4 linked regions of the Anolis sagrei genome follow. The protein of the gene in region 4 purifies or fractionates together with the protein of the main gene of each other region. This does not show direct contact. Links are inferred from orthologs where the notes say so. Each region holds a gene or a part of one and is shown on either strand. Other genes may lie near its edges. The genes, in order: CTDP1, RPAP1, RPRD2 and POLR2J.

Region 1 (8,043 bases), on a different chromosome or scaffold from region 4:
AAGAATAGGGCTCCACAGCCACCTACGAATCCACAAGGAAACCCATCATGGAAGACCATCTTACTCGTCCAACGAGGGATCGCCTAAGTAAATAAGTTTTCTTTAATATAAAACATTTATTTTTTAAAATTTAAACTAGTTGGGGGTTTTAGATATCATTTTTATGTATATTTGTTTTGTGTTATTGACACTGTTGTTGTTTTATAAATGCCTATGTATATTGTTGTACTTATCTGTTTACAGCACTAATGAGTGCTTTTGTAAGCCGCCCTGTGTCCCTTTTGGGAAATGGTGGTGGGCTATAAATAAAGTTATTATTATTAACATATATTGGAGATCCCAGTGGGTTATAACCATGTACGTTTCATAAGTGATCCTTTTTAAAAGACAGATGGATAGTTAGAAACAATGAGTGAAACTCCTTTTGTTAGGGAATTTGTAGACAGGCATTTTATCTGGGATTAGTGGGCACAAATTTCCTCTTCATGTCCCTTCAGGTTTTGTATCGGTAAAGGTTAGCTCATCCCCTCTGGAATGTGTAGTTCCCTGGCCGGACTATTGGAAATCAACTCCATTTTGGGGAGGGGAAAATGCTATTATTTCAATATTTTGAAACTTCATAAAATGTAAAAAAAATATAATAAAATTCATATGTAATTTCAGAATTCATGTTGAGTCCATCTTTTGGGGAGGGAAGGGTCAATTTTTTGATAACAAAACTGTATCCATTCTTCAATGCAGAAGTACACTCCTAATGATCACAAGTATTTCTATAAAATATATTGCTTGATATACAAGTGATGTCATCTGCTTACAAGAATAAAATTGCAGATAGAAATCAGAGACAAAACACTTACAAAGCAAAGAGGTTTGAGGTGGGAGCAGAACATAAAAATCAATTGGAGAGGACACTGCTGTTTGAAAATGTGAATATTCTTGAAAAGCAAAGGTGTGTGTCTGTGTTGGGATGTAAAGTGGGCATTTATCAAGATCTTTTTGAATTATTTTATATATTTGATCTTGGTGTTTCAACCTGCAAAACACTTCAATTTGTATTTTAGGAAAAAATGCTATTGTTTTGGAATCATTTAAGGATACATTTTGGAAAATGTGGTGTTGGCCAATTGCAATGAAGGAACAATTCTGAAGCCCAATGGATCATGTAGGATTAGACACTTTAATTGTTTTAACAGTGGAAAAGTAAGGTTCACCCAGAGTGGGGAATACACAATCACCAGATGTTGGATTGCAACTGACATTAGTCCTTATTTATTTCTGTTGGAAATAGCAATCTTCTACAAGCCTCCTATACTAGTTGTTATGTACAGTATATAATTCAGATTGCTTGCTGTATTATATATGTATGTTTTGATATGCAGCTTCCTTAACTCTATGTTGTTTGAGGTTGTGAGAGAGACTGCAGACCATGTGATCAGATCTGGGCCTATTCATACTGAGGCTCCATTTTAGAAATCAGTATAGTATTGTGTTGTGTTATATTTTATTGTATAGTCATTTTCATTAGGCATTAGGCATAAGACAGAGAAGAGAATGAAACAGAATGCCTTAGAGAACTTACTGTTTAAACTTTCAACTGATAAACAATGTACCTGTATGCTGAATACATAAAGTTTGTAAGAAAATCAACTATGTTATTTTTTTAAAAGACTGCTTATTTTTTGTCTCATGAGAACATTATTTAAAACCAATGTATTTTATGGGAGAGTAGATTTTGGGGGGGGGGGGGGCAACTGAAGCAAAACACTCCTGAAGATCTTCCATTTATTTTGTGCATTGTCATATCTTTGTTCCTAATAGTTCAGACAGATAACCAGGTATATCAGTCTAACAACTGAGAAACCTAATTGCCTTGAAGCAATACTAGTGGATATATACCGCTAAAGAGAAAATTCACTCAAACGAGTTTTTAGTTTTTCTCAGGAAGATCTTTATTTTACAAAAAGGTTATGATTTTCCAAATGGTAGTGACTGCCAATTAATCTCCAAAAGGTCACGCTTCCAAAAGGCTTTGAAGAGTCTGGTTTTCCAAAAGGTTATGATCTCAATGGTCATCCTTTTCCCAAAAGGTTATGCCTTTCCAAAAATTTCACCCTATGCTGAAGAATTATAGGAGGGGCACATATTCCCTGTGTTTTCTTTAGACCTTGAATACAGTAACTGTTAATTCCCTAAAGGTGTTAAAGATTACTAGAGTGCAAATGTTGTATATTTTCCATCAGATATTTAAAGTTGCTGTGGAAAAGTCTATTTTGCTGTTTTACAAGAGGAACTGGCTTTTCTGGAAGAATGAAAATTCAAATGGAATGTAAATCTTTGGAATTATGGTAATTTGCCATAAATACAGAGGAGTGGCACCAACAGAGGGCAAGGACAACTAGAAGTAACTTCAAAGGCATAATCTGCTTATGCACATTTTTTTCATAATGATGATGACACTTTGGGTTTGAAAGTTTCCAAAATTTCTAAATGAGTGGATCAAAAAAAAATGCATCTATGTAGCCCTTTAACACAAACGAGATCCCAAACTGATGCAACAGACTCTCATTTAAAGGGCACTCAATGAGGACTGATAGATGCTGGATAAGTGTAGTTTCTGACTGCTTGAAAGTTTCTATTAAAACTTGGGCTAAATAATACTATACCTCATACTTTACCACATCATGAACTCTATGTTGCCATGATAGTACTATTGAAAGAAAGACACATCTGACTTAATGTAACACAATTTTATAATATTATAATATTGTATCTTACTGTTCCCTCAGCGACAGCAAGAGCATCCCTCTGGGCAGCTAAACCAGGAAATCCCAATTGGATGGTCCCCCATGAGGGTCTCCCTCCAAGAGCAAACCAAGTATGGGCAACTTGGAAGTCCTTGAACAGACTCAGAAGTGGAGTGGACAGATCAAAAGACAACCTGGCAAAATGGCACTACCTAAAAGAATCCTCCACCTTGTGCGACTGTGGAGCAGAACAAACAATTCTGCACCTGTTTGCTTGTCCACAATGCCCTGCCTTGTGTACAGAGGAGAAGTTGTTTAACGCTACAGACAATGTGGTTGCTGTTGCCCAGTTTTGGTCAAAAATTATTTCGCTGATTGTGCTCCTTCTATTTTTATCAATTTTATATTTATGTATGCAATGCCTTTGAAACGCAATAAATAAAATGGTATTATAAAAACACAGCTTTGTCAATGCAGTATGCAATTTTAGTTAAACAGCAGTCAACAAACCTTTGCCGTTTGCTTGACAACTCCAGTTGCTTGTTTTCTGGTTAACTGAGAGTCTACTGTACAATGATGAGACAGCAAGAAGGAATAGAAGACCCGGAGCTCCAAGGAAGAAAATACAATACCTTCTGCAACTGGACTGTTTCCACAATGGAATTTTTATATTTTATAGAAAATTCAAAACTAATATAAAATGAGGGAATTGTCCAATAACAGCTGAATGACCCTTTTCTTAATGTTTTATTAGAGAACTTTTGAAAACTGGTAGCTTCAGGTCATGACATGGGCTGGTCCATGAGGTCATGAAAAGTCGGAAGCGACTGAACAAATAAACAACAATAACCCACTGTGAAAAGCTTTGGCTTCCCATATCCAGTAAACAGAATATGGGGAAAATGAGATTGCCACAGGTCACTTTGCTAAAATTCATAATCCGTCATTCAGGGAGCATCACCCTTCTTTGTCCATTAATTCTGTATCCACGGATTCAACCTTCCACGTCTTTAAAAGGTTTTAATTCAAAAATCCAGAAAGCAAATGAGTGATCCAATACAACAGCCAGCAGAGTGATCTTGTCTGCTGTGGACTCTGGAATGTGTCCAGAGGAGGGAGACTAAAATGATCAAAGGTCTGAAGAACAAGCCCTATGAGGAGCGGCTTAAAGAGCTGGACATGTTTAGCCTGAAGAAGAGAAGGCTGAGATGAGAAATGATAGCCATGTATAAATATGTGAGAGGAACTCATAGGGAGGGAGCAACCTGGTTAACTCATGAATTTTAACTGGTTAACCAAATCCCCATGCTAAGTCTATGAAATTGCACCTGCAGAAAAACCATCAAATGCACTGGAAGCATATCTTGTCTGTGATTGAGAGTTTTTTTCCGAATGTGAAGAAACTTCTTTAAATGAAACATGCCAGTTACCCTTTGTAGTCTTTTACCTAAGTCATTGCTATCTTAAATGCTGGTTATAAGTTTTAATCCATGTTTAATCAGTTTTATCTGCTGGGTTGTTGTAGGTTTTTTTGGTCTATATGGCCATGGTCTAGAGGCATTCTCTTCTGACGTTTCGCCTGCATCTATGGCAAGCATCCTCATAGGTAGCGAGATCTGTTGGAACTAGGGAAAAGGGTTTATATATCTGTGGAATGACCAGGGTGGGACAAAGGACTCTTGTTTGCTGGGGCTAGTTTTATCTGCTGTTAATTCCACCCACGTCATGTGTTTTAATCCATTTTGGCTATTTTTGGCCTTACTAACTTTGCATACCTTTTACAGAGCAATAAGGGTCTTTGGATTGTATTAAAAATGTTGTTGTTGTGTTATCAAACTACTCTTCATGATTTGCTAAAAAAAAGTTTCAACACCCACCCCCACCCTGTAATGTGGTGTTCAAACTGCATTAGCCAGGGCTTAAAAGCTGGGACACAAACTCTGCCGCGCATGCGCGTCCCACCGGCTCGTCTGTTATGCAGCCCACGCGGAGGGGTGGGGAAGAGGGCTCGGGCCCCGTTGCGTCACCAGCGCCAGCGCGCGAAGCAGGAAGGGCGTGGCTTAAAACTTTCCATCGTCAGACCTGCGATGCCTTCCTCTCGCCTTGGTGCGGCTGTTCCTTTAAGGCAGCAGGGACGGAGCAGCAGCGGCGGCGCCGTGCGCCTGCGCAGCAGAGTCTTGACCTCGCGCTCCGTCCGCTGCGCTGCTCGTGACTACTTCTTCGTGTTGTTGTTGTTTTTTTGAAAAAGAGGGGGAGGGGAGGAAAGAGGGGGGGGAGCTGCCGTTTGGCATTCGGTTCTTATCGCTGAGGCGGCCGTTGCCATAGCGACCCCGCGTCGGACGGGCCCGGCCTAGGAGGCCATGGAGGAAGACCCTGGAGCAGCTGCCGCCGCTTCGGCTTCTGAAGTGACGGAGATCCGGGTCCCCGGCCCGCAGCCTCTGCGGCTCCTCGAGTGGAAAGTCTCAGCCGGGGCGGCGGTGAAAATCGGCTCGGTGCTGGCGGTGTGCGCGCCTATCGCGGCCTCTGAGGCGCGGGGCCCGGAGCGGAAGGTCAAAGCGGAGCGGCCTGGCGTGGTGCGGGAGCTGTGCGCGCGGCCGGGACAAGTCATCCCGCCCGGGTGAGTCCGGAGGAGAGGAGCGGAGGGAGGGAGGGAGGGCAGCCGGGGCGGGACTAGGCCTCGCCGCGCAGCTCATCTGAGCAAGCACCACAGCACTCGCCCCATCCCTGGCGCAGGAAGGAGGAGGAGGAGGAGGGAGGGAGGGCGCCAAGAACGGCATCAGCCCGCCCCTCCTCCCCCGCCCTCTCGCGCTCGCCCTGACTCTGGAGAAGGAAGCCAGCTTCCTTCCCCCTACCTCCGCCTTTCGCAGCCTGGGAGGGATCACGAGGGGGTGTCAGAGGGGGCGCCGAAGACTATCAGAAAACAGTATTTCATGCGGGTTCTGTGGGAGAATTTTGGTCCAATTCTATCCTTGGTGAAGTTCACAATGCTCATTGATTGTAGGTGAACTATAAATCCCAGCAACTACAACTTCCAGTATCCGCTGGGTAATGGAGAAAGGCAGGGAGTTTCAGGAAAAACATCTATTTCTGTTTTATTGACTATTCTAAAGCCTTTGACTGTGTGGATCATAATAAATTGTGGCAAGTTCTTGGTGGTATAGGTATACCAAATCACCTTGTCTTTCTCCTGAGGAATCTGTATAAGGACCAAGTAGCAACAGTAAGAACTGAGCATGGAACAACGGACTGGTTCAAGATTGGGAAAGGCGTATGGCAGGGTTGTATACTCTCACCCAACCTATTTCTGTTTTATTGACTATTCTAAAGCCTTTGACTGTGTGGATCATAATAAATTGTGGCAAGTTCTCCGTAGTATGGGGATCCCAAGCCACCTTGTCTCGCTCCTGAGGAATCTGTACAAGGACCAAGTAGCAACAGACTGGTTCAAGATTGGGAAAGGCGTACGGCAGGGTTGTATACTCTCACCCAACCTATTCAACTTGTATGCAGATCACATCATGCGATGTGCAGGGCTTGAAGCATGCAAGGCTGGGGTGAAAGTTGCTGGAAGAAACATTAACAACCTTAGATATGTAGATGATACCACTTTGATGGCTGGAAGTGAAGAGGAGCTGAGGAGCCTTCTAATCAAGGTGAAAGAAGAAAGTGCAAAAGCTGGGCTGCAGCTAAACATCAATAAAACCAAGATTATGACAACAAGAATGATTCATAACTGGCAAATAGAGGAAGAAAACATGGAAGCAGTGACAGACTTTGTATTTCTAGGTCCAAAGATTATTGCAGGTGCAGACTGCAGCCAGGAAATCAGAAGACGCTTACTTCTTGGGAGGAGAGCAATGACCAATCTCGATAAAATACTGAAGAGTAGAGACATCACATTGGCAATGAAGATCCGCATAGTAAAAGCAATTGTATTCTCCATAGTCACCTACGGATGTGAGAGTTGGACCATAGGGAAGGCTGAGCAAAGGAAGATAGATGCTTTTGAATTGTGGTGTTGGAGGAAAATTCTGAGAGTGCCTTGGACCCCAAGAAGATCCAACAAGTCCATACTTCAGGAAATAAAGCCCAACTGCTCACTGGAGGGAAGGATATTGGAGGCAAAGATGAAGTATTTTGGACAGATAATGAGAACACAGGAAAGCTTAGAGAATACAATTATGCTGGGGGAAATGGAAGGAAAAAGGAAGAGGGGCCAACCAAAGGCAAGATGGATGGATGGCATCCTTGAAGTGACTGGCTTGACCTTGAAGGAGCTGGGGGTGGTGACAGCCGACAGGGAGCTCTGTCGTGGGCTGGTTCGTGAAGTCACAAAGAGTCAGAAGCGACTGAATGAATGAACAGCAACCATGCAACTTCCAAATGACAATATCAGCCCTCCCCCCAATCAAAGAGCATTCTGAACTCCACCAACGATGGAATTGAACCAAATGTGGTACACAGAACTCCCCTGACCAACAGAAAATACTGAAAGACTTTAGTGGCCATTGACATTGAGTTTTGGTTGTAGTTCACCTACATCCAGAGAGCACTGTGCACTCAAACAATGATGGATCGGGACCAAACTTGGCACAAATACTTAATATGCCTAAATGTGAACACTGGTAGAGTTTGAGTGAAATAGATCTTGACATTTGGGAGTTGTAGTTGCTGGGATTTATAGTTCACCTACAATCAAAAAGCATTCTGAACCCAGCCCACAATGGATGTTTACTAAAATTGGCACACTACCTACATGGCCACCATTGAATGTTGGTGGGGTTGGAGGGGGCTGTTTTTGAATACTGGGAATTGTAGTTCCCCAACACCAAAAAAAGAAGAGGACAGGTGGAGATATTTTCAGTCTTTTCTGTCAAAGGGGTTCCTAAGACCATCAGAAATATATGTTTCGGATGGTCTGTGGAGCCCCCTCTGAAACCCCCCTCACAACTCCCCCAGAGGTCCCAACCCCCAGGTTGAGAAACACTGTGTTAGACTCAAAAATAACTCAGGTGGGGTGATTCCACCATAAATACTTTATAGCAGAGTACCAGAATTAAACTCTTTAACCAGCAGAAACTTACATGTAGTCACATGTAAGTTTCTGCTGGTTAAGGAGTTTACATGCTGGAATAGGCTTCTATTCTTCAGGATGGCTTGGGATTGCAGAGTCAGATCTTAGGTTCAAAAGTATTTTATGAAGTAATGCTAAGTGTCCATTGACCAGAAGCTGGTCACTTGGAGTGCCTGTGGTGTCGCTGTGAGAAGGTCCTCCATTGTGCATATGGCAGGGCTCATG
Region 2 (8,317 bases), on a different chromosome or scaffold from region 4:
ATCAAGGCAGAAAATCCCACATTATCTGAGTGTGTACTCAGATAATCCAGTTCAAAGCAGATATTGTGGAATTTTCTGCCTTGATATTCTGGGATATAGGGCTGTCTGGAAGGCCCTTGTTTATACATTTATTCTAATGCTGTTGCTCATAGTATTTGGTTTTGGTATTTGGTATTTGCTTGTATGATGGCATGCATAATAACTCTTATATACATTCCAATCATTTTGGTCAATTTCTGGCCATTCCTGTTTCACCATTGCCTCACCATAAGGTACTACCAGTGAATTCTATAAACAGAAAGATGGAATAACCATGGGGAACCAGTCATAGCAAATTTCTACATGGAACACTTTGAAAAATAAGCCTTGGAAACCACAACAAAAAAGCCCACTACATGGTTCAGATATGTGGATGACACTTTCACTATTTGGAACCATAGAAAAGAAGAACTAAACAAGTTCCTGGACCACCTCAACAGCATCCAATTCACCATGGGAAAAGAAAATGGAGGAAAACTGTCATTGGATTGTTGTAGGGTTTTCGGGTTATATGGCCATGTTCTACAAGCATTCTCTCCTGACGTTTCGCCTACATCTATGAGACCTCACAAGCTCTGAAGATGCTTGCCATAGATGCAGGTGAAACACCAGGAGAGAATGCTTCTAGAATATGGCCATATAGCCCGAAAAACCTACAACAACCCAGTGATTTCACCCATTAAAGCCTTCGACCATACATTAAACTGCCATTTTTAGATGTCCTAGTCATCTGTAAACCCAATCAACAATTGGGCTGCACAGTTAACAGAAAACCTACAAATGGATAGATACCTACAAAAAAACTCCAACCATCACCCAAGTCAAAAAACGAAGCACAATTAAAGTCCTGGCAGACCATTCAAAAATAATCTATGAACCCCACCGCCTCCAAGGTGAACTGAACCACCTAAACTGGGTTTTACAGGCCAATGGATACTCAACCACAGACATCAGAAGAGCTGCAAGAGCAAGAACAAGCCACGAGAATAAAGACAAAGATCCACCAAGAGGAAAAAGTGTTGTTGCCCTACATCAAGGGAATCACTGATTGCATTGGGAAACTGATGAAGAAACACAACATACAAAATATCTACAGACCTACTAAGAAAATCCAACGAATGCTACATTCAGCAGGATCCTCTCACTTCTGCAGGAGTCTACTGTATACTATGCAGCTGTGGACAAGTCATAGGGACCACCAAAGGCAGCATTTCCCAAACACGAATCAAGGAACATGAAAGGCACTGCAGACTACTTCAACCAGAGAAATCAGTCATAGCAGAGCACTTGATGAAGCAAACTGGACACACCATATTATTTGAGAACACAGAAATGTTGGGCCACTCTACCATTTCAGGCTATACAGAGAAGACATTGAAACCCACAAGCATGTGAACAATTGCAACAGAAAGGAGGAAACCATGAAAATGAACAAAATCTGGCTACCAATGTATTTAAAAAAACTAAAATCAGGACAGTAAATAAAGAGCAACTCGAAAAAAGCAGGGGACTTCCAGACATGAATCAATCAGGGCCAGCTAATCACCTTCCAACAAAGGATTCTCCCAGTCAGCAACCAGCCAGGCTTTGAAGCTGCAAGGCCATGCAATGCCAATTGCAACATTCACACCTATCTCAAGCAGCCAAGAGTTCTTTCTCCCACCCTGGAAATTCTACAGATATATAAACTTCACTTAGTTTCCAACAGACCTCACAACCTCTGAGGATGCCTGCCATAGATGTGGGTGAAATGTCAGGAGAAAATGCTTCTGGAACATGGCCATACAGCCCGGAAAACTCACAGCAATCCACTCTTCTGCCAAAGCTTTCTGCTGCCTCCCTAAACTACAGATCTCTGGATTCCAGAGCATTGAGCCATGGAAGTTTAAGTAGTGTCAAAAAGGCATTCATTCTACAGTATAGAGAAGGCAAGGGCAAACTTTGGCCTTTCAGGTGTTTAGGACTTCAACTCCCACCATTCCTAACAGCCTCAGGCCTGACAGATATTCTTGATATTTTATGAATAAGATTCCAATATCTCAAATGTCCTTCACCTCAAACACTATACTAGAAAGAAAAACATTTCAAAAAAGAAACATGGAATCACATGTGACTCACTCTTGTTCAGATAAACTGGATTATGAGTCTACACTGTCATACAATCCAGTACAAAGCAAATAATTTGGATTGTATATAGCAGTGTAAATGGGGCCAGTCGGGGCTGTTTTGGCTGTATTTTCTTGCATGTTAAGGGGTTGGACTACAAGCCCCATGTGGTCTCTTTTAACTTTATGATTCTATACATGCCACCTCACAAACTCTGAGGATGCCTGTCATAGATGCAGGTGAAACGTCAGGAGAGAATGTCACATTAATTAATTCCATGAAATAGTTATATCCCAACAGCTTTGGTCCCTTCCACATAGGTGTATAAAATCCCATATTATTTGCTTTGAACTGGGTTATATGGCAATGTGGACTAGGGCCTCTTCCAGAAAGCTGTATAAAATCCACATTGAACTGGATTATATGGCAGTGTGGACTTAAGATAACCCAGTTCAAAGCGGATATTGTGGATTATCTGTCTTGATATTCTGGGGGCACTTCCAGACAGGGCCTATATCCTAGGATCTGATCCCAGGCGTGAGGCTGTTAGGAATGGTGGGAGTTGAAGTCCAAAACACATGGAGGGAGGGCCCATGCTGTTCTAGTCATAGAATCATAGAATCATAGAGTTGGAAGCGACCTCATGGGCCATCCAGCCCAACCCCCAGCCAAGAAGCAGGAATATTGGATTCAAAGCACCCCTGACAGATGGCCATCTAGCCTCTGTTTAAAAACCTCCAAAGAAGGAGCCTCCACCACACTCCGGGGCAGACAGTTCCACTGCTCAACGGCTCTCACAGTCAGGAAGTTCTTCCTCATGTTCAGATGGAATCTCCTTTCTTGTAGTTTGAAGCTGTTGTTCTGTGTCCTAGTCAGGGAAGCAGAAAACAAGCTTGCTCCCTCCTCCCTGTGGCTTCCTCTCACATATTTATACATGGCTATCATATCTCCTCTCAGCCTTCTCTTCTTCAGGCTAAACATGCCCAGCTCCTTAAGCCGCTCCTCATAGGGCTTGTTCTCCAGACCCTTGATCATTTTAGTCGCCCTCCTCTGGACACATTCCAGCTTGTCAACATCTCTCTTCAATTGTGATGCCCAGAATTGGACATGACTTCCCTAGATCTAGACCAGGGGTCCACAAACTTTTAAAACAGAAGGCCAGGTAACAGTCCCTCAAACTGTTGGGAGGGCCAGATTATAATTTGAAAAAAGCATGAATGAATTCCTATGCACACTGCACATATCTTATTTGTAGTGCAAAAACACTTTGAAACTATACAATAATTGAAATGAAGAACAATTTCAACAAATATAAAATTATTAGTATTTCAATGGGGAAGTGTGGGCCTACTTTTGGCTGATGAGATAGAATTGTTGTTATTGTTGTGTACTTTCAAGTCGTTTCAGACTTGGGTTGACCCTGAGCGAGGGCCGGGTAAATGACCTTCGAGGGCCGCTTCCAACCCCCGAGACTTAGTTTGAGGACCCCTGATCTAGACACTATGTTCCTATTGATGCAGGCCAAAATCCCATTAGCTTTTTTTGCTGCCACATCACATTGTTGGCTCATGTCAGGCCTGTAGCCAGGATTTCGATTCGGGGCGGGGGGGGGGGGGGAGCTGAGTTTGTTTCAGGGGGGCTGAGTCTGAGTGAAAGAGGGTCTACCCTAGCAAACCTTTTGTATCGTTACCCCAATATCCCCATGCATATGGGATATATTGAATATGGTGATCAGATCATGATATGAACAAACGTAACAGTTTAAATATAGGGAGCCCCCGGTGGCGCAGTGGGTTAAAGCACTGAGCTGCTGAGCTTGTTGATCGAAAGGTCGCAGGTTCGATTCTGGGGAGCGGTGTGAGCTTCCGCTGTCAGCCCTAGCTTCTGCCAACCTAGCAGTTCGAAAACATGCAAATGTGAGTAGATCAATAGGTATCGCTCCAGTGGGAAGGTAACGGTGCTCCATGCAGTCATGCCGGCCACATGACCTTGGAGGTGTCTACGGACAATGCTGGCTCTTCGGCTTAGAAATGGAGATGAGCACCACACCCCAGAGTCAGACATGACTGGACTTAATGTCAGGGGACTACCTTTACCTTTACCTATCATATCTCCTCTCAGCCTTCTCTTCTTCAGACTAAACATGCCCAGCTCCTTAAGCCGCTCCTCATAGGGCTTGTTCTCCAGACCCTTGATCATTTTAGTCGCCCTCCTCTGGACACATTCCAGCTTGTCAACATCTCTCTTCAATTGTGATGCCCAGAACTGGACACAATATTCCAGGTATGGTCCAACCGCATCTGTTTTTGTAAGCTGCATCGAGTCCTTCGGGAGATGCTAGCGGGGTACAAATAAAGATAATAATAATAATAATAATAATAACCAAGGCGGAATAGAGGGGTAGCATTACTTCCCTAGATCTAGACACTATGCTCCTATTGATGCAGGCCAACATCCCATTGGCTTTTTTTTTGCCACCACATCACATTGTTGGCTCATGTTTAACTTGTTGTCCACGAGGACTCCAAGATCTTTTTCACACATACTGCTCTCGATCCAAGTATTGTCCCCCATTCTGTATCTTTGCATTTCGTTTTTTCCTGCCTAAGTGGAGTACCTTGCATTTGTCCCTGTTGAACTTCATTTTAGTCCTCCAGGTTCTTTTGGCCTTCAACTCCCAGAAGCCTCAGCTGCCTTGGCTTGTGACAAGGCATGCTGGGAGCTGAAGTCCAAAAACTGCTAGATGAGCAGAGTGTGGGGAAAAGAGTGTTTATACTGCAGCAGAAGGGCTGTCATTGGACTCCTCTTTCACCGCCACGCTCAATGCTGTGGAAACCTGGAAGGTGTACTTTCACAAGGTGAGGCGCCTTCTCTGGAGCCTCACCAAACTACACGTCGCTGGGTCCCATAGTATTGAGCCTTGGGAGTTAAAAGGACCTTCGTTCTCCAGAGGGAGGCTGGCTCTGAGTCCAAAATGGCGGCGGGGGCGGAGTTAGGCCTGAGAGGAAGCCGCCCCTTCTCACTGGAGGCGGAAGGAGAGGCGAGGCCTGGAAGAGCCCGGAAGCAGGGACAGAAAGAAGGCGCCGTTTGGCCTCCCAAAGGCTTGCCGTTCCCTCTTTCGGGCGACCTCGAGGTATAGAGACCACCAGGGAAGGAGGTTCTTCTTGCCCACAGAAGGAAAAGGCTCTCGGCCGCCAGAGGCATGGCTGGCTCTGCTGGGAGGGATGAGCATGGCGCCCCTCCTCCTGCCTCATGTATTTCAGCATATGCAAACTTCGGCCCTCCCGGTGTTTTGGACTTCAACTCCCACAATTCCTAACAGCCGGTAGGCTGTTAGGAATTGTGGGAGTTGAAGTCCAAAACACCGGGAGGGCCGAAGTTTGCCCATGCCAGGTTGCAGATAACCTGTGTGAATGTCTACTTCTGGAACTTGCGTTTCCTATAATAGAAACTAAGTTTTCCCCCCCTTGAATTCTTAGAACCCGATTATGTGCTTGTGTAGATGCAAAGTTTGTGAAAATGAAGGATGTTAAACTCTTCCCTTTCTAAAAATGTAGATCAAGTCATCTATACGCTCCGCACAAGAAGGCAACAGGAGGAAGATGTTGTCAAGACCCAAGCCCGGTGAATCGGAAGCGGACTTGTTGCAGTTCCAGAATGAATTCCTCTCAGTGAAAGCTTCCCCAGCAGTGAAAATAGTCAAGAAAGCAGATAAAAGGAAAGGGGATTTGGGAAGTGGAGATGATGACAGACCCCCATTGCAGCATGGCAGAGATGTGGTGATGTTGGATGGTAAGTCTGTTGTAAGTTATTTTATGTTGGTGTCTTAGTATATTGGGAGGTCAGCTGTGACCAGCAGTGCTATAGAATTTTAAGAGGTACGAATGGAGGGCGAAAGAGAGAAACGTGCCAAGAGGAAGGCGCATCAAGCCAACCCTGACCGGGAAATCAATGCCTTCACTGCAGGAGAAAATGCAGATCAAGAATAGGGCTCCACAGTCACCTATGGACCCACCACCAGTACACTGATCCCGGAAGACTATCCTACTCGGACAATGAGCGATCGCCTAAGTATGTAAGTATTGGGAAAAACCAGGAAACCCTTTTGGAAGTGTGACCCTTTTGGAGATTAATTGGCATTCACATTATTTGGAGTAATCATAAGCTTTTTGGAAAGGCATGACCTTGTTGGAGATCGTAACTTTTTAAAAAGTGTGATCTTCTTGAGAAGAGTTAAAAACTTGCTTGAGTCAACCATCTCCTTAGTGGTAAATATCCATTAGTATCAATGCAAGGCATATTAGGTTTCTTAGCTGTTAGACTGATATACCTGATTATCTCTTTGAAATGTTGGCAGCAAAGATATGCCAATGCACAAAATATATAGCAGATCTTCAGAAGTGTTATTTCAGTTGCCGAAAAATATATCTACTGTCCCATAAAATATATTGCTTTTAATCATGCTTGCAAGAGACCAAAAAGTAAGCAGTCTTCATTAAAAGTTAACCTAATTGATTTACGTACGAACTTATAGAATCATAGATTTGGAAGAGACCTCATGGGCCATCCAGTCCAAGCCCCTGCCAAGAAGCAGGAAAATTGCATTCAAAGTACCCCCAACAGATGGCCATCCAGCCTCTGCTTAAAAACCTCCAAAGAAGGAGCCTCCATCACACTCCGGGGCAGAGAGTACCACTATTGAATAGCTCTCACTGTTCGAAGTTCTTCCTCATGTATTTAGCATACAGTTACATTTCTTATTGGTTTCATGTTATTATTATTATTAAACTTTATTTGTATCCCGCTAGCATCTCCCGAAGGACTCGATGCGGCTTACAAAGGCCAAGGCCTCAACACAACAACAATAGACAATAACAATACGATACAAAGCAAATTAAAAACATAAGCAATAACAAAACATTACACTATTACGCAATAAAACCAGGGCCGGGCCAATGAAGGGTCCAGATTAAAAAGTGCTGGGTGTGAGAGGTGGTATGTTGGAATTCTGGGCAAGTGCCCTGTGCAAGAGACTCTAGTAAAGTGCTACTGGGACATAGTGCTGGGGTTTATCCTATTCTGGAAAGGCATATAATGTTAACTGAATTATACTCAAAACTGCTCTACTGGGGGTACTTTAACTGCTCATCTGCTGCAAACAGACTCCTATATTAACTGAACATCTCACTGCAGCATACTGACTATATTCCTGCTCTAACTGACATCAACATACTTCACTGACTTCTAACTTCCAACTGACTCAAGTCTGAACTGACTTAACTGATTCCAACTGACTTCTGATTCAAACACATTCTAAAGTGGAATTTCACTCTGAACATTCTAAGATCCGGGTCACATGGTCTGTAGTCCCTCCCACAACCACTAACAACATAGAGTTAAGGGAAAAACTGCATACCAATACATACACACACTATAGTAAACAATCACAATGATATACATAACAAATAACTAGTAGAGGAGGCTTGTAGATGGTTGCTATTTCCAAAATAGTACAATTTAAACAAAACAGCAAGACCTTATTTGCCTGGAGATTATTATTTATATTGTGACTGTAGCACTGTCTACATGTGATGTGCTATAATGCCATCATGCAACTCAGTTGAAGCTACAGTGGATAGTGCTGCCCCAATGGCATCTGTATTAAACCCTATCCGTATTGTATGAGTAGTGTGACCATTGGGCTATCTCGTTTAGTTTCTGCTATTGCCCTTAATTGGTGACAGAGTTTAACCCTGTTCTCAGTGTAATATCCACACCCTGAATGAAAAAATATAATTTAGGAAGCAGAATTATATCTGCTACGGAATTTTAAATCAATAAGGGTTTATATGATGTTTTATGTAAAATTGTTATGTAAATTCATGTTGTCATTGTTTTATACGGTCATGTACTGTTGTATTTTATGTGTGTTGCACTTTTGAGTGCTTTTGTGAGTCGCCCTGAGTCTTTTCAAGGAGATGGTGGTGGGATATAAATAAAGGTTTATATTATATTTTATATTATACATTTGGCCTAACTCAGATTTCCTGGTTGCATATACAGTTTGTTCTCATATTGGGCTAAATAGATGACAATCATGGCTGTAGCCCATCAGACATGATTCCTGTTCTCCAGATTTCATACCTCTCAGCGCCCTTCCAGATAGGCCCTA
Region 3 (8,108 bases), on a different chromosome or scaffold from region 4:
CCTGCTGGCTGTTAGGAATTGTGGGGGTTGGAGTCCAAAATCCCTGGAGGGCCCAAGTTGGCCCCTGCCTGCCCTAGAGGGTTAAAGAGGCATATATTTTGGACTTTGGAAGCATATATTTGGACTTTGGAAGCATATATTTGGACTTTGAAGGCAGATATTTGGACTTTGAAGGCAGGTATTTGGACTTTGAAGGCAGGTATTCGGACTTTGAAGGAAGATATTTTGGACTTTGGAGGCAGTAACCGACAACAACAAAACTAGATGATGGGAGCCAAAGGGGCAGAAAAGGAAGCCTTTAATACCCCCCCTCTCGCCATCCGTCTCCCAATCTCTTCCAAAACATCAGCACCTCCCAACAAAGGATTCCCCCCAGGCAGAAATCAGCCAGGCTTTGAAGCTGCAAGACTTTGCAATGCTTGCCTAGTTTCCAACAAAGCCCTTCAACCTCTGAGGATACCTGCCATGGATGTGGGCGAAACGTCAGGAGGGAATGCTGCTGGAATATGCCCAGACAGCCCAGAAAACTCATAGCAACCCAGTGATTCCAGCCATGAAAGCCTTTGACAACACACAGAAAGAATGAATAAAAAATAATAACATAATATTCTGTTATTATTATATCTAATAATAAGGATTTCCCCAGGCAGGAGCCTGGCTTTGAAACTGCAAGGCCATTCAATGCTAATCAAGGTGGCCAATTACAACATTCATATACCTCAAGCAGATGAGAATTCTTTTTCCCGCTTTGGACATCATTCCACAGGGATATATATAAACCCCATTTGCCTAGTTTCCAACAGGCCTCACAACAATATAATAATAATAATAATAATAATAATAATAATAGAGAGAGTGAGGATGCTTGCTTGCCTAGTTTCCAACAGACCCCCCCCCCCCTTCAACCTCTGAGGATTCTTGCCATGGATGAGGGCGAAACGTCAGGAGGGAATGCTGCTGGAACGTGGCCAGACAAACCTGAAAACTCACAGCAACCCAATAATAATAATAATGGGTTGCTGTGAATTTTCAGACCTGGGAACCCCACAACCTCTGAAGATGCCTGCCATGGATGTGGGCGAAACATCAGGAGAGAATGCTGCTGGAAAAGTGGCCAGACAGACCTGAAAACTCACAGCAACCCAAAGGTAAGGCTGTTTTGGGGATTTGGCCAACAGACCTGACAAACTTTGGGGATGCCTGTCATAGATGTGGGCAAAACATCAGGAGAGAATGCTTCTGGGACATGGCCAGAAAGTCCAGAAAACTCACAACAAGCCACACATTAATTCTGCAATATAGATGCAGCCTACCCGGTGAGATGTCAACATGCAGTTTGTTGGTGCAGAAAAAAGGGACCGTTTATATTATTATTATTATTATTATTATTGAAATGTCGTCAGGAGGGAAGGCTGCTGGAATGTGGGCAGAGGTACCTGAAAACTCACAGCAACCCAATTATTATTATTATTATTATCACAATCATGTCACAACCCTATTATTATCACAATTATATCACAGCAACCTAAAACCAATCAAATCATTTATTTCGGTCATTGACCAGCACAGGAAATAGTCACATTTCCATACAAACTTGGTATGTTTGGTACATTAAAAATATAAATATAACTACAGAAGCACAATATGGGTGAGGGAGCAGAAGGGGAAACAGGGTAAAAACATACAATGCCCAGATCCATCACCAAATTGTAGATTCAGGGAAGAAGATTACTGGGTTGCTGTGAATTTTCAGACCTGGAAACCTCACAACCTCTGAGGATGCCTGCCATAGATGTGGGCAAAATGTCAGGAGATAATGCTTCTGGGACATGGCCAGACAGCCAGGAAAACTCACAGCAACCCAATAATAATAATAATAATAATAATAATTGGTTGCTGTGAATTTTCAGACCTGGAAACCTCCCAACCTCTGAGGATGCCTACCATAGATGTGGGAGAAACGTCAGGACAGAATGCTGCTGGAAAAGAGGCCAGACAGACCTGAAAACTCACAGCAACCCAATTATTATTATTATTATTATTATTATTATCACAATTATGTCACAACCCTATTATTATTATCACAATTATATCACAGCAATTCAATAATAATAATAATAATAATAATAATGGGTTGCTGTGAATTTTCAGACCTGGAAACCTCACAACCTCTGAGGATGCCTGCCATAGATGGGGGAGAAACGTCAGGAGAGAATGCTCCTGGGACATGTCCAGACAGCCCAGAATACTCACAGCAACCCAATAATAATAATAATAATAATAATAATAATAATAATAATAATGGGTTGCTGTGAATTTTCAGGCCTGGAAACCTCACAACCTCTGAGGATGCCTGCCATAGATGGGGGAGAAACGTCAGGAGAGAATGCTGCTGGGACATGTCCAGACAGACCTGAATACTCACAGCAACCCAATAATAATAATAATAATAACAATAATAATAATAATAATTACTGTGAATTTTCAGACCTGGAAACCTCACAACCTCTGAGGGTGCCTGCCATAGATGGGGGAGAAACGTCAGGAGAGAATGCTGCTGGGAAAGTGGACAGACAGACCTGAAAACTCACAGCAACCCAATTATTATTATTATTATTATTATTATCATCATCACCCTGATATCCTTGAGTGTGCCTCGTGGGCGGGGCCTGCGGCCTAGCGTCCTGTCCGAAGCCCCTCATTTTCCTAGGCCTCACCTCGTCGCAGGTTCTGGATCCAGTGCCGGACGATGGCGTGGTGGTGGCGCTTGTTCTCCAGGCACCACGACGACAGGCCCTGGATGGACTCCATGGTGTTGGTCACGGCCTGCAGCTTCCTGTCCAGCGAGGCCTCCAGCGAAGACGACGAGGCGGAGGAGGAGGAGGAAGGCGCCGCAGCCGCCGAGGAGGAGGAGGAAGACGAGGACGACGAGGACGACGACGAAGAGGAGGAGGAGGAGGCCTTGCCGCCACCGCCGGCCGCCATTTTGCCTCCCCTCATCGGTCGCACAAGCAACGCCGCTGAGGGGAGGGGAGAAGACGCGTCAGTGCGCAGGCGCGCTTTTGGAACCCTCACTGCGCAGGCGCGGGGGACGGTTCAATCCCTTTCTCGCACACGCCTCCATCCCCGCGCAGGCGCATTGGCCTCACAAACTCTCAAGCGCTGAAGGGAAAAGTAGGCCCCGCCCCTTTTCGCAAGCTCCGCCCACCCTTATCTTCCATCCCCGCGCAGGCGCACTGGCCTCCCAAACTCCCAAGCGCTGAAGTTATACCAAAAGGAAAAGAAGTAGTCCCCGCCCCTTTTCGCAAGCCCCGCCCACCTTCTCTTCCATCTCCGCGCAGACGCACTGGCCTCCCAAGCGCTAAAGTTATTCCAAAGGGAAAAGTAGCCCCCGCCCCTTTTTGCAAGCCCCGCCCACTCCTCGCTTCCATCCCCGCGCAGGCGCACTGGCGACCAAGAGTCTCCCAAGCTCTGAAATTATTCCAAGGGAACAGAAGTAGTCCCCGCCCCTTTTCGCAAGCCCCGCCCACCCTTATCTTCCATCCCCGCGCAGGCGCACTGGCCTCCCAAACTCCCAAGCGCTGAAGTTATTCCAAAGGGAAAAGAAATAGGCCCCGCCCCTTTGCAAGCCCCGCCCACCCTTAGCTTACATCCCCGCGCAGGCGCACTGGCTTTCCAAACTCCCAAGCGCTGAAGTTATTCCAAAGGGAAAGATATAGGCCCCGCCCCTTTTCTCAAGCTCCGCCCACCCTCCGCTTCCATCCCCGCGCAGGCGCACTGGCCTCCCAAGCGCTAAACTTATTCCAAAGAGAAAAGTAGGCCCCGCCCCTTTTTTCAAGCCCCGCCCCACTCCTCTCTTCAATCTCCGCGCAGGCGCACTGACGAGCAAGAGACTCCCAAGCGCTGAAGTTCTTCCAAAGGGAAAAAAAGTCGGCCCCGCCCCTTTGCTCAAGCTCCGCCCACCCTTCGCTTCCATCCCCGCGCAGGCGTACTGGCGAGCAATATTAAATTTAATATTTTAATATTTTAGTATTTGCCATCTTAAATATTTCAATAGATTAAAATGTTTTTAATATTTAATTTTAAATAATATTGGATTTAAATATTAAAATATTAAATTTAATAAACAATTTTAATTTTTAAAATATTTAATACAAATATTTCAATAGATTAAAATGTTTTAAAATATTTCTAGTATTTCCCATATTTGATGTTTTAATAAATTGAAATAATATCAAAATATTCAATTTAATAAACAATATTTAATTTTAAAATATTTAATACAGGTAGGAAAATGCACATTTCAAAAGGAAGAACAGCAATTTCCCCCCCGTTAAAATTTTCTATCTCTTCCCAATGGAAAATTTATCTTGCCCATTGCCCCGCCCACTCCACCAATCAATCATTTAGCCTGGCAACCACGCTACGCATGCGCAAGAGATCCCAACCACGTGCCCAAGGAGGCCAAAGGAACGATTGCTCAGGCTGACGAAGCAGCCAAAAGGTGGCGTTTGCCGGACCCTTATTGGTGGAACCTTGCCCGCCTACTTTCGGAGTAACCAATAGGAAAGCGGAATGAGAACGCGCTCCTCCAATGAGGCTGCGAATAGAACGCGAGAATGAAAAGGAGGCGGCATTGAACTCAAACGCAGCAGTGGGAAGAAATGAAACAACTGCGCATGCGCTGCTAACCTAACCCAGCTGTGCTTTAGAGCATGCGCGGACTAAAGACTCAAAAAAGGGGAGGACGCCTCTGCGCATGCGCAAAACTCCAGTTTCATATAGTATTGAGCCATAGTGGTGTCAAACCGCATCAATCTTCCAGTGTGGCTGAACCCAAATTTACGAAAACACGTGAAAAAGATCAGAGTGCACTTTTGAGGCTCCTTCAAGACTTTTTCCCCCAATTGTACTAGTGTTTATTTCTCAATCTTTTGTTTTTTTAAAGGTAAACAATAGTAAAAATGTCTGTTTTTAAAGGATCTATGAATCCTAGAGTTGGAAGAGACCTGGTGGGTCATCTAGTCCAACCCTATTCTGCCAAGAAGCAGGGAAATCACATTCAAAGCACTCCTAACAGATGGTCATCCAGCCTCTGTTTAAAAGCTCCCAAAGAAGGAGACTCCACCACACCCTGAGGCAGAGAGTTCCACTGCTGAACAGCTTTCACAGTCAGGAAGTTCTTCCTCGTGTTCAGGTGGAATCTCCTTTCCTGTCGTTTGAAGCCATTGCTCCATTGCGTCAAATTGATGGCGAAAGGCATCTTCCAATGAGTAGAAGGTGCGAAATAGAACATTAGGCCCCATCTACACTGCCATATAATCCTGTTTCAGAATGCAGATTGAACTGGATTATATGGAAGTATTTATGACATTTATACCTCACCCGAAGGGTATGTATGCATGTACATGCAATATATTATATTATTAGCATAGCACAGTATTAGTATTATATATTACTATATTGTCCCATACCACTATACTCAATATTATTAAGAATATTACAATATATATTAGCATAGCACAATCTTAGTATTATATATTTCTATATTGCATCATACCATTATACTGCAGTATTATTCGTAATATTACATATTATATTGTATTACAATATTTTGATCAATATTATATATACATACAATATATTATTAGCATAGCACAATACTTGTATTATATATTACTATATTGCACCATACCATTATACTGTTGTATTATTAGTAATATTACATGTGATATAAGATATATATTTAATTATTATATTGTATTATATACAATGTTATGATCAATACTATATGTACATACAATATCTTATATTATTAGCAATATTACATGTGATATAAAATATATAATTATTGTATTATATTACAATATTTTGGTCAATATTATATGTAAATATAATATATTATATTATACTATATTGCTATATTATATATAATATATTATACTATATATATTATATATATACTATATATTATATAATATACTATATAATATATATAATATATTACTATATTGTGCGATACCACTATACTGCAATATTATTAGTAATATTACATGTAATATAAAATACATTATTATAGTATTATATTGTATTACACTATTATGATCAATATTATATGTACATACAATATATTATATTATTAGCATAGCACAACCTTAGTATTATATATTACTATATTGCACTATACCACTATACTGCAATATTATTAGTAATATTACATGTAATGTGAAAAATAAAATTATTTAATTGTTTTACAATATTATGATAAATATTATATGTACATACAATATATTATATTAGCATAGCACAATATTAGTATTATATATTGCACTATACCACTATACTGCAATATTATTAGTAATATAACATGTAATATAAAATATATAATTGTTGTATATTATTACTATATTGTATTACAACATAATGATCAATATTATATGTACATAAAATATATTATATTATTTGCATAGCACAATATTCCTATTATATATTACTATATTGTGCTAAACCACTATACTGCAGTATTAATAATAATATAACATGTAATATAAAATATATAATTATTAATTATTATATTGTATTACAATATTATGATCCACTATACTGCAATATTATTAGTAATATTACGTGTAATATAAAATATATAATTGTTATATATTATTATATTGTATTACAATATTATGATCAATATTATATGTACACACAATACATTATATTATTAGCATAGCACAATATTCATATTATATATTACTATATTGTGCTAAACCACTATACTGCAGTATTATTAATAATATAACATGGAATATAAAATATATAATTATTATATTATTATATTGTATTACAATATTATGATAAATATTATGTGTACATACATACAATATATTATATTAGCATAGCACAATATTAGTATTATATATTACCCTATACCACTATACTGGAATATTATTAGTAATATTACATGTAATATAAAGTGTTTAATTGTTATATATTATTATTATATTGTACTACAATATAATGATCAATATTATATGTACATACAATATATTAGCATAGCACAATATTCATATTATATATTACTATATTGTGCTAAATCACTATACTGCAGTATTATTAATAATATAACATGTAATATAAAATATATAATTATTATATTGTATTACAATATTATGATCCATATTATATGTACATACAATATATTATAATTGTTAGTGTAGTCTCATCTCATCCAGTTCAATCTACACTGCATATAGATGGGGGAGACCTTCAGGATGATAGGATCTGTAGTCAAAAAAAAAAAAAAAACCATACCCAGAAGCCCTCCCCTTTAGTTTCTGACATTGCTATAGTATATGTTCTCAGTCTCCTTAATGCCAAGGAGGAAGCATTTTTTTCCCAAGAAAAGACAGCCACATGGTTTACTTTTTAAAATCTTTTTACCCAAAAAAACAACAACAACCCCAAAGTTTGTTATGTAATGATAGGATATGGGCTAAATCCCCAGTTCCTACTCTTTGCATTGAAAGATGACATTCCAAGAACTGCCCCAGAGCACTTAACTGTCCAACAAAGCTACTGGAAAAGAAAAGAAAAAAAGGAATGGGGGGGGGAAAGCAAATATAGGATCTGCATATCTTCAAAAATAGGTTCAGGAAGAAGAGATGACCAATCGATTCTCGTTGGCTGTTTCCTCCAACAACAAAGCCCTACTTCCAATGGGATTCCTTTTAAAAAATATTTCTTTTTAATGAGGAACTCAAGAAGGAAGTGTGGAAAGAGGAAGAACGCGGTGGGATGAACTCCAAGTCCCATGTTTCAGCTGAGTTCCCGAGGCTCGAAAGCAAAGGAGCTGAAAAGGTGGAAGGTTGGTGTCAAGGGCCCCCTTTTTAGTCCGTGGATTCCAGCACCGACTCGCTGAGCGCCAGGTCCCAGTAGTGCTCGGCCCCGTGTTTCTTAAAGTGCTCCCGTGCCATGTTTTCGGTGGGGCACTGCTTGAACTTCATCTCCCCAAAGCTGCGCTCCTTGGCTGTGCCCTGGGGAAAAAAGGACAGAGAATGGGGCGTTAATGGGAAACGGAATGCTTTCATGGGTGTTTACCTGAAGATCAGTTC
Region 4 (7,965 bases):
CACCACCGCCAAGCAAGGCAGCCAGACAGCCAGACAGCAACCCACTTGCGCCCCGGTCCCCAACTGGCGGCGCTCCCTTCCGCGCCTCCGCCAATCGGGAAGCCCCGCGGGAGGAAAGGGGCGGGGCCGGGGAAGGGGGAGCGCCCCATTGGCAGAGCGCCCGGCAGCCGGGATTGCCCTCTTCTTCTTCCCCGGTCTCTGAAGGCATCCCGGCGCCTTCTTCGCCCTCTCTCTCTCGGCTTCCATCCATCCTTCCTTCCTTCTTTTTCTTCCTTCTTTTCTTCCTCTCTCCTTTCCTTTCTTTCCTTTCCTTCCATCCTTCCTTTCATTTCTTTTCCTTGCTTCTTTCCTTCCTCCCTTTTTTCCTCCTTCCATCCTTTCCTCCCCTCCCTCCTTTCCTTTCTTTCCTTCTTTCCTTTCCTTGCTTCTTTCCTTCCTTACTTCCTTCTGGCTTTCTTTCCTTCCTTCTTTCCTCTCCTCCTCCTTTCCTTCCCTTCCTTCTTTCCTTCCTTCTTTCGTTCCTTTCCTTCCTCCCTACCTCCTTTCCTTCCTTCCTTCCTTCCTTCTTTCTTTTCCTTGCTTCTTTCCTTGCTGTCTTCTTCCCTCCCTACCTCCCTTCCTTCCTTCCTTCCTTCCTTCCTTCCTTCCTTCTTTCCTCCCTTCCTTTCCTTGCTTCTTTCTTTCCTTCCTTCCTTCTGGCTTTCCTTCCTTCCTTCTTTCCTCCTTTCCTCCTTTCCTTCCCTTCCTTCTTTCCTTCCTTCCTTCGTTCCTTTCCTTCCTCCTTACCTCCTTTCCTTCCTTCCTTCCTTCCTTCCTTCTTCCCTCCCTACCTCCTTTCCTTTCTTTTTTTCCTTCATTCCTTCTTTCCTTCCTTCCTTCTGGCTTTCCTTCCTTCTTTCCTCCCTTCCTCCTTTCCTTCCTTCCTTCTTTCCTCCCTACCTCCTTTCCTTCCTTCCTTCCTTCCTTCCTTCTTTCCTTTCCTTGCTTCTTTCCTTGCTGCCTTCTTCCCTCCCTACCTCCTTTCCTTCCTTCCTTCTTGGCTTCCTTCTTTCCTTTCCTTGCTTACTTCTTCCCTCCCTACCTCCTTTCTTTCTTTCTTTCCTTCCTTCCTTGCTTCCTTCTTTCCTTTTCTTGCTTACTTTTTCCCTCCCTACCTCCTTTCCTTTCTTTCTTTCTTTCCTTCATTCCTCCCTCCTTTCCTTCCCTTCCTTCTTTTCTTCTTTCCTCCCTCTCTCCTTACCTTTCCTTTCCTTGCTTCCTTCTTTTTCCTTCTTTCTTTCTTTCCTCCCCTCTTCTCATATCTACCCCTTTTCTTTCTCTCCCTCCTTTCTTCTCTTCTTTTCCTCTTCTCTTCTTTCTTTTGTTCCCTCCCCTACCTTTCCCTCTTACCTTCCTTTTCTTTTTTCCCTTCCTTTCCTTCCTTTTTTCCCTTTCCCTTTCTTTCCTCCCTACCTCCTTTCCTTCCTCCCTTCTTTCCTTCCTTTCTTCCTTCCTTGTTTCCTACCTATTTTCCCCCTTTCTTTCCTTCCTTCCTTCCTTCTTTTTTCCATCCTGGTGCAATTTGGGGCAGGATGAACCACAGATAATGGTGTTTGCAGCGCTTTCACTCACTGCCACAGACTGCGACCTCCACGAATGACGAACCTGGGCCAAACTTGGCGCAATAACACCCCCCCCCCATGACCCACTTTATGTCCTGATGAGGTTTGGAAGAGATTGTACCATGGATGATGGGATTTGCAGTACCTTCACTCACTAATGGGGTTAGACCCACTTTACATCTTGGTGAGGTTTGGGGGGAGGATGGACCACGGATGATGGGATTTGAAGTACCTTCATCCACTTCCAGAAAGCACTGTGACTCCCACAAATGATTGACCTACAACAAATTTGGGGCACAGAACCCCCCCCCCCCCCACACACACACACTTTACGTCCTGGTGAGGGGTAATTGACCTTGAATTCTGGGAGTTGTAGTTCACCCTTATCCAGAGAGCACTGAACCCAGCCGACAAGGGATCTGAACTTGGCACACAGAGACAACATGACTGTGCCTAAAGGTTAGGAGATGATTGTCTTTGAAATCTGGGAGTTATAGTTCACCTGTATTAAGTGAGGCGTTCAAACTCCACCAATGACAGATCTGGATCAAACCTGGCACACAGACCCAACACAGACAACTTTGCCTACTGGAGGGGTTTGGGGGTGATTGACCTTGGCATCTGGGAGTTATAGTTCACCCATATTCAGAGAGCCCTCTGAAGCCAGCCAACAATGAATCTGGACCAAACTTTGCGCACAGACCCAACTGTAAATAATGACAGACTTTAGGGAGGACTGACCCACAATTTTGGGAATTGTAGTTCACCCACATCCTTATGCATTTTCTAATGGGAGCATTCATAAAAAACAAAAGCAAAGGCGCTCTCCCGAGTGCCCAGGATGTCCTCGCTTTCCGGGGCTTAAAGTCCTCCAGATGTTGGCACTGCTGCTGGTTTCCAGAGTGCCAGATGCTGAGTGAATGGGTGGGTGTCCGGATTACGCAGAGCTCACGTCAGGCAGATCCGGTCAGCGGACAGCAAAGCCCATAATCCTCGAGGAGGAGGAGGAGGAGGAGGAGGAGGAGGAGGAGGAGGAGGGCCGCATCAGAATGGGGAAAGGCAGGAGGTCGGCTCTAGGCCTTCCACATCTGCATCTATTAAATAATAGGCAGAAAGATAGAGACATTGATTTCAAGAGACACATATTTGGCCTCCTATCTATCTATCTCTCTCTCTCTCTATCTATCTATCTATCTATCTGTCTCTTTTTTGAAATCGAATCTGGAGAGATTGACTTTTAGGTTGATTTAGCATTCCCCTGCTTCACCAAATAGATGTATCTATAACTATCTATCTATCTGACTGCCTATCTGTCTCTCTAGCTATCTACCTATCTGATTATATCTATCTATCTGACTGCCTATCTGTCTGACTATTTGTCTGTCTATCTATCTATCTGATTATATATCTATCTGACTACTGATCTATTTATCTATCAATCTGACTATATATCTATCTGCCTAACTATCTATTTATTTATCTATCTGACTATCTATCTACCTAGCTATCTATCTATTTATCTAACTGACTATTTATTTATTTATTTGCATTATTTCTGCCATGCCCATATCAGCCAGAAGGCGACTCAGAGCGGCATACACAGTCGGCACAATTCGATGCCATAAAAATGCATACATTGATAAACAAAAGTAACCATTATAATGCATTTAAACATAAAGATAGGGCATAATAACAATTTTAAAAACAAAAAAACTATGTCCTCTCATTCAAGTCCTTATCCGTTCCATCGTCTTGGACCGTTACTGGGTCATTTTCCAATTCAAGTTTGTCTATTTATTCGGAGGTTCTAAATCTATCAATCTATCTGTCTATCTATCTATCTGACTATTTATTAATCTATCTGACTATCTATTAATCTATCTGACTATCTATTAATCTATCTGACTATCTATCTATCTATCTATCTATCTGACTGTCTATCTATCTGATTATATATCTGACTATCGACCTATTTATCGATCTATCAATCTGACTATATATCTAACTGCTTAGCTATCTGCCTATCTATCTATCTGACTATTTATCTGACTATCTAGCTATTTATCTATCTGACTGCCGATCTATCTATCCATCTATCCATCTATCTGACTGTCTATCTATCTATCTGATTATATATCTGACTATCAATCTATTTATCTATCTACTTGACTGTCTGTCTATCTATCCATCCATCCATCCAATCCATCCATCTATCCACCCATCCATCCATCTATCTATCTGACTATCTATCTATCTATCATCTATCTATCTATCTATCAGATAGACAGTCTGATAGATAGATAGATAGATAGATAGATAGATAGATAGACAGACAGTCAGATAGACAGTCAGATAGATAGACAGCCAGGGAGTGTGATAGCTAGAAACACATAGATAGATAAATAGATAGATAGTCATGTATAAAATTAGATAAATAGATAGATAGATAGATGTTCAGATAGATAAATAGATAGTCAGATAGATAGGCAGTCAGATAGATAGGCCAATAGATGATCTATATCAGATGATCTATATCTATATCAGATAGTCAGTCTATCTATCTGACTATCTATCTGACTGTCTATCTATCTATCATCTATTGGCCTATCTATCTATCTATTGGCCTATCTATCATCTATTGGCCTATCTATCTATCTATTGGCCTATCTATCTGACTGCCTATCTATCTATCTATCTATCTATCTATCTATCTGAACATCTATCTATCTATCTATCTATCTATCTATCTATCTATCTATCTATCTATCTATCTATCTATCTATCTATCTATCTATTTATCTATGTGTTTCTAGCTATCACACTCCCTGGCTGTCTATCTATCTGACTATTTATCTGACAATCTATCTATCTGTTTTTATGTCTGTCTACAGGCATGTAGCCGGGGGGGGGGGGCTCGGGGGGCTTCAGCCCCCCCCCCACCTCCGAAATCCTCTCACAACTGAAGTCCCAAAGACCTGGAGGGAGGGAGGAGGGAGGGCCCTGACCTGACTCCACGAAGAGCCTGCAGTACCGCCGGGGGCCTCCAGAGGGGGGGCGCGCGCAAGGAAGGAAGGCCAGAAGAGGCCTCACGCTCGCGCCCTTAGCGCGGAAGAACCGGAAGGGGCGGAGCCGGAAGCGCCAGGAAAGACCAGCGCCAGCCATGAACGCTCCTCCGGCCTTTGAGTCCTTCTTGCTCTTCGAAGGGGAGAAAAAGTGAGTTCCCTCCACCGGGATAATAGGGGCCTCCAGAGACCACCCAGGCCCACCCCCGCTGTGGCCAGGCAGGCGGGGCACCATCCAACCCGTCCCGACAGATGGCCGGGCTGTCTCTGTGGCAAAACTACCAGAGAAGCGGGCCTAAAGGCTGTACCTTGATAGAGATAATTATTTCATTCATATTTCATAGTAATATATATATATATATATATATATATATAGTATTATTATGATATCGATGTATTCTTATTTTATATTGTTATATTTTAATATTTTAAATTGTTATATTAATATTATATATATATTGTAAATTCTTATTTTATACTATATTTCTATAATTCTTATTTTATATTATAACATGCACATCTTTATTATTCTAAATTGCTATATTATATTATTTATTCTTATTTTATATTATTTTTATAATATAATCTATATACTTCTTTTATAGTATTACACCTATATCTTGTTTTATAGTATTATTTTATGTTACTATGTATTATTTTGTATTATATATAATATATATTATTTTAAATTGTTTTATTATTTATCATATTATAAATTATTTTATTTATTATATATAGTCATATTATTTTTATATTATAATATATATATATTTCATGATATTACCCCTATATCTAGTATTATAGTATTCTTTTATATTACTGTTTATTATTTTATTATATATAATATATTATTTTAAATTGTTATATTATTTATTATATTATATAGTCTAGTTTTATATTTTATGGTATTATATATGTTATTCTTTTTTATATTATTATATATGCATATTACAATATAAATATATATGTCTTGTTTTACATCATTACTATGTAATAATAGTTATTTTAAATTTTGTTATATTATTTATGATATATTTATATTTTATTTTATAGTATTATATATTGTTTCTATTTTATAGTATTTTGTAGTATTAGAATATATATATATTATTTTATATTATTTATTGTTACATATTATTTTATATTATTCTTACATATACTCATATTCTTATTTTTAATATATATTCTTTCTATTCTTATTTTATTATTATATTATGTATATATTGTATATTATCCTATATAATTATTACTCTAAACTATGTTATATTATTTATTAGATTGGATATTATTTTATTTTTCTTTTATACATATACCTTCTTTTTATTTCTATAATATAAATATATAATTCTTATTTTAAATTAGATTATTATTATTATTATTATAACTTTATTTGTACCCCGCTAGCATCTCCCAAGGGATTTGATGCGGCTTACGACAGGCCGGAGCCCAACACAATACAACAATACAATACATAGCAAATTAAAACAGTTAAAGCAGAAAACAATAACAGTAGCAGTACAACAGAACATTATTAAAAACTGAGCCGGCCAGAGTGAGGTACAGGGTTAAAAAGTGCTGAAGTGTCGGAGGGATATGGGATTAAAATATAAGTGCAGTGTGCGGTGAGGGTGATCTTGACTCTACTAAAGTGCTTCTGGGCTTTGGTAGTGGGGGTCCTAATCTGAGAAGGCACGTAGGAACAGCCAGGTTTTCAGGTTCTTTCTGAAAACCGCCAAGGTAGGGGCCTGTCTGAGATTTTTCGGGAGGGCATTCCAGAGGTGGGGGGCCACCACAGAGAAGGCCCTGTCCCGTGTCCCCACCAAACGCGCCTGCGACGCGGGCGGGATCACGAGCAGGGCCTCTCCTGATGACCGGAGTGAGCGTGTGGGTTCGTAGACTGTGATGCGGTCACGCAGGTAGGGTGGTCCCAAACCGTTCAGGGCTTTGTAGGTAAGCACCTGCACCTTAAATTGGGCTCGGAAAATAAACGGCAGCCAGTGGAGTTCCTTAAACAGGAGGGTTGACCTCTCTCTGTAATGGGCCCCCGTTAACATCCTGGCTGCTGCCCGTTGGACCAATTGGAATTTCCGAGCCGTTTTCAAGGGCAGCCCCACGTAGAGCGCATTGCAGTAGTCCAGTCTAGAGGTGACATATTATTTGTGGTTTTATCCTTACCCTTTCCTATTCTATTCTTACTGTACATTATATTATTTATTATATATTATGTTATTATTCTTTTATATCTTATGACCATCTTCCTCATGTTGAGGTGGGATCTCTTTTCCTGCCATTTGATCCCATTCCGCCATTGGATCCTTATTTCAAGAGAAAGCTATCTCCTTAAAGTGACCTCTCAAATATTGTCTTCATATTGATACTGAGCTGTCTATATATGTGCCTGAGGCTTTTCCTGGTTTATTTTCCTTCCAGGATTACCATCAACAAGGACACCAAAGTCCCCAATGCCTGCCTCTTCACCATTAACAAGGAAGACCATACGCTCGGGAACATCATTAAATCGTAAGTAAAGAGGGGTCATGATGATGAGGATAAGACACCTGCATTTTGCCATCAAGCCTTTGGAAGCTTCCACATTTCACTAAGGATGATGATGATGACAACGACGATGGCTCTTGCATTTTGCCATGAAAGCTTTGGAAGCTTCCCCATATCACAGAGAATTAAAATTTATTTATTTATCCTGTCAGAAGCGAGTTGAAGGTACAGTTATAATGTATTTAAAACCACAAATTTAATAACTTGGCATTGTATTAAATGTAGTAGGTGGTCTGTGATATGAGGTGAGAGGGAAACCAACTGTCAGATGGAACTTTGTTTGTAACCATACTGTATACTTTGAGAAATAAAGCCCTTCCAGTCAGTCTGTGAGGTAATTTCTTCTCTAGAAAACAACAGATCAGGACAAAATGTCCTTTGAACAGAAGCCGGCCACTTGGAGTGCCTCTGGTGTTTCCTTGCAGGCAGCTGCTGAAGGACCCGCAGGTGCTGTTTGCGGGCTACAAGGTCCCCCACCCGCTGGAGCACAAGATCATCATCCGGGTGCAGACCACCCCCGACTACAGCCCCCAAGAGGCCTTCACCAACGCCATCACCGACCTCATCAGCGAGCTCTCCCTCCTCGAGGAGCGCTTCCGCGTAAGGGCTGGATTGGGTGGCCTTTGGGGGGCCCTTCTAAGTCTATGATATTATATTTATCTATCTATATATGTATTGATACACACCATCCCCAGGGTACAAACATCCCATTTACAAAGGACTCTTAGTTTAAAAGGGCTGGACTG

Evidence for each region.
Region 1: the proteins of POLR2J (region 4) and CTDP1 purify together in Homo sapiens (affinity purification with mass spectrometry; 4 studies listed by BioGRID and IntAct, with this or other methods). This does not show direct contact. The link is inferred for Anolis sagrei from reciprocal best matches to the Homo sapiens genes POLR2J and CTDP1.
Region 2: the proteins of POLR2J (region 4) and RPAP1 purify together in Homo sapiens (affinity purification with mass spectrometry; 5 studies listed by BioGRID and IntAct, with this or other methods). This does not show direct contact. The link is inferred for Anolis sagrei from reciprocal best matches to the Homo sapiens genes POLR2J and RPAP1.
Region 3: the proteins of POLR2J (region 4) and RPRD2 purify together in Homo sapiens (affinity purification with mass spectrometry; 3 studies listed by BioGRID and IntAct, with this or other methods). This does not show direct contact. The link is inferred for Anolis sagrei from reciprocal best matches to the Homo sapiens genes POLR2J and RPRD2.

The regions. Positions count from the first base shown.
Region 1 is NC_090024.1:76,170,789-76,178,831, forward strand, and holds the start of CTDP1 (RNA polymerase II subunit A C-terminal domain phosphatase), read left to right. Parts: upstream 1-4,764; 5' UTR 4,765-5,104; coding exon 5,105-5,361; intron 5,362-8,043. UniProt on the Homo sapiens protein: Processively dephosphorylates 'Ser-2' and 'Ser-5' of the heptad repeats YSPTSPS in the C-terminal domain of the largest RNA polymerase II subunit. This promotes the activity of RNA polymerase II.
Region 2 is NC_090021.1:288,351,292-288,359,608, forward strand, and holds the start of RPAP1 (RNA polymerase II-associated protein 1), read left to right. Parts: upstream 1-5,125; 5' UTR 5,126-5,278; intron 5,279-5,702; 5' UTR 5,703-5,747; coding exon 5,748-5,937; intron 5,938-8,317. UniProt on the Homo sapiens protein: Forms an interface between the RNA polymerase II enzyme and chaperone/scaffolding protein, suggesting that it is required to connect RNA polymerase II to regulators of protein complex formation.
Region 3 is NC_090032.1:6,032,685-6,040,792, reverse strand, and holds the start of RPRD2 (regulation of nuclear pre-mRNA domain-containing protein 2), read right to left. Parts: upstream 3,055-8,108; 5' UTR 3,001-3,054; coding exon 2,718-3,000; intron 1-2,717. Other genes in the region: PRPF3 (U4/U6 small nuclear ribonucleoprotein Prp3), read right to left, coding at 7,884-8,030.
Region 4 is NC_090031.1:24,262,951-24,270,915, reverse strand, and holds the start of POLR2J (DNA-directed RNA polymerase II subunit RPB11-a), read left to right. Parts: upstream 1-4,705; 5' UTR 4,706-4,761; coding exon 4,762-4,814; intron 4,815-7,093; coding exon 7,094-7,183; intron 7,184-7,644; coding exon 7,645-7,819; intron 7,820-7,965. UniProt on the Homo sapiens protein: Core component of RNA polymerase II (Pol II), a DNA-dependent RNA polymerase which synthesizes mRNA precursors and many functional non-coding RNAs using the four ribonucleoside triphosphates as substrates.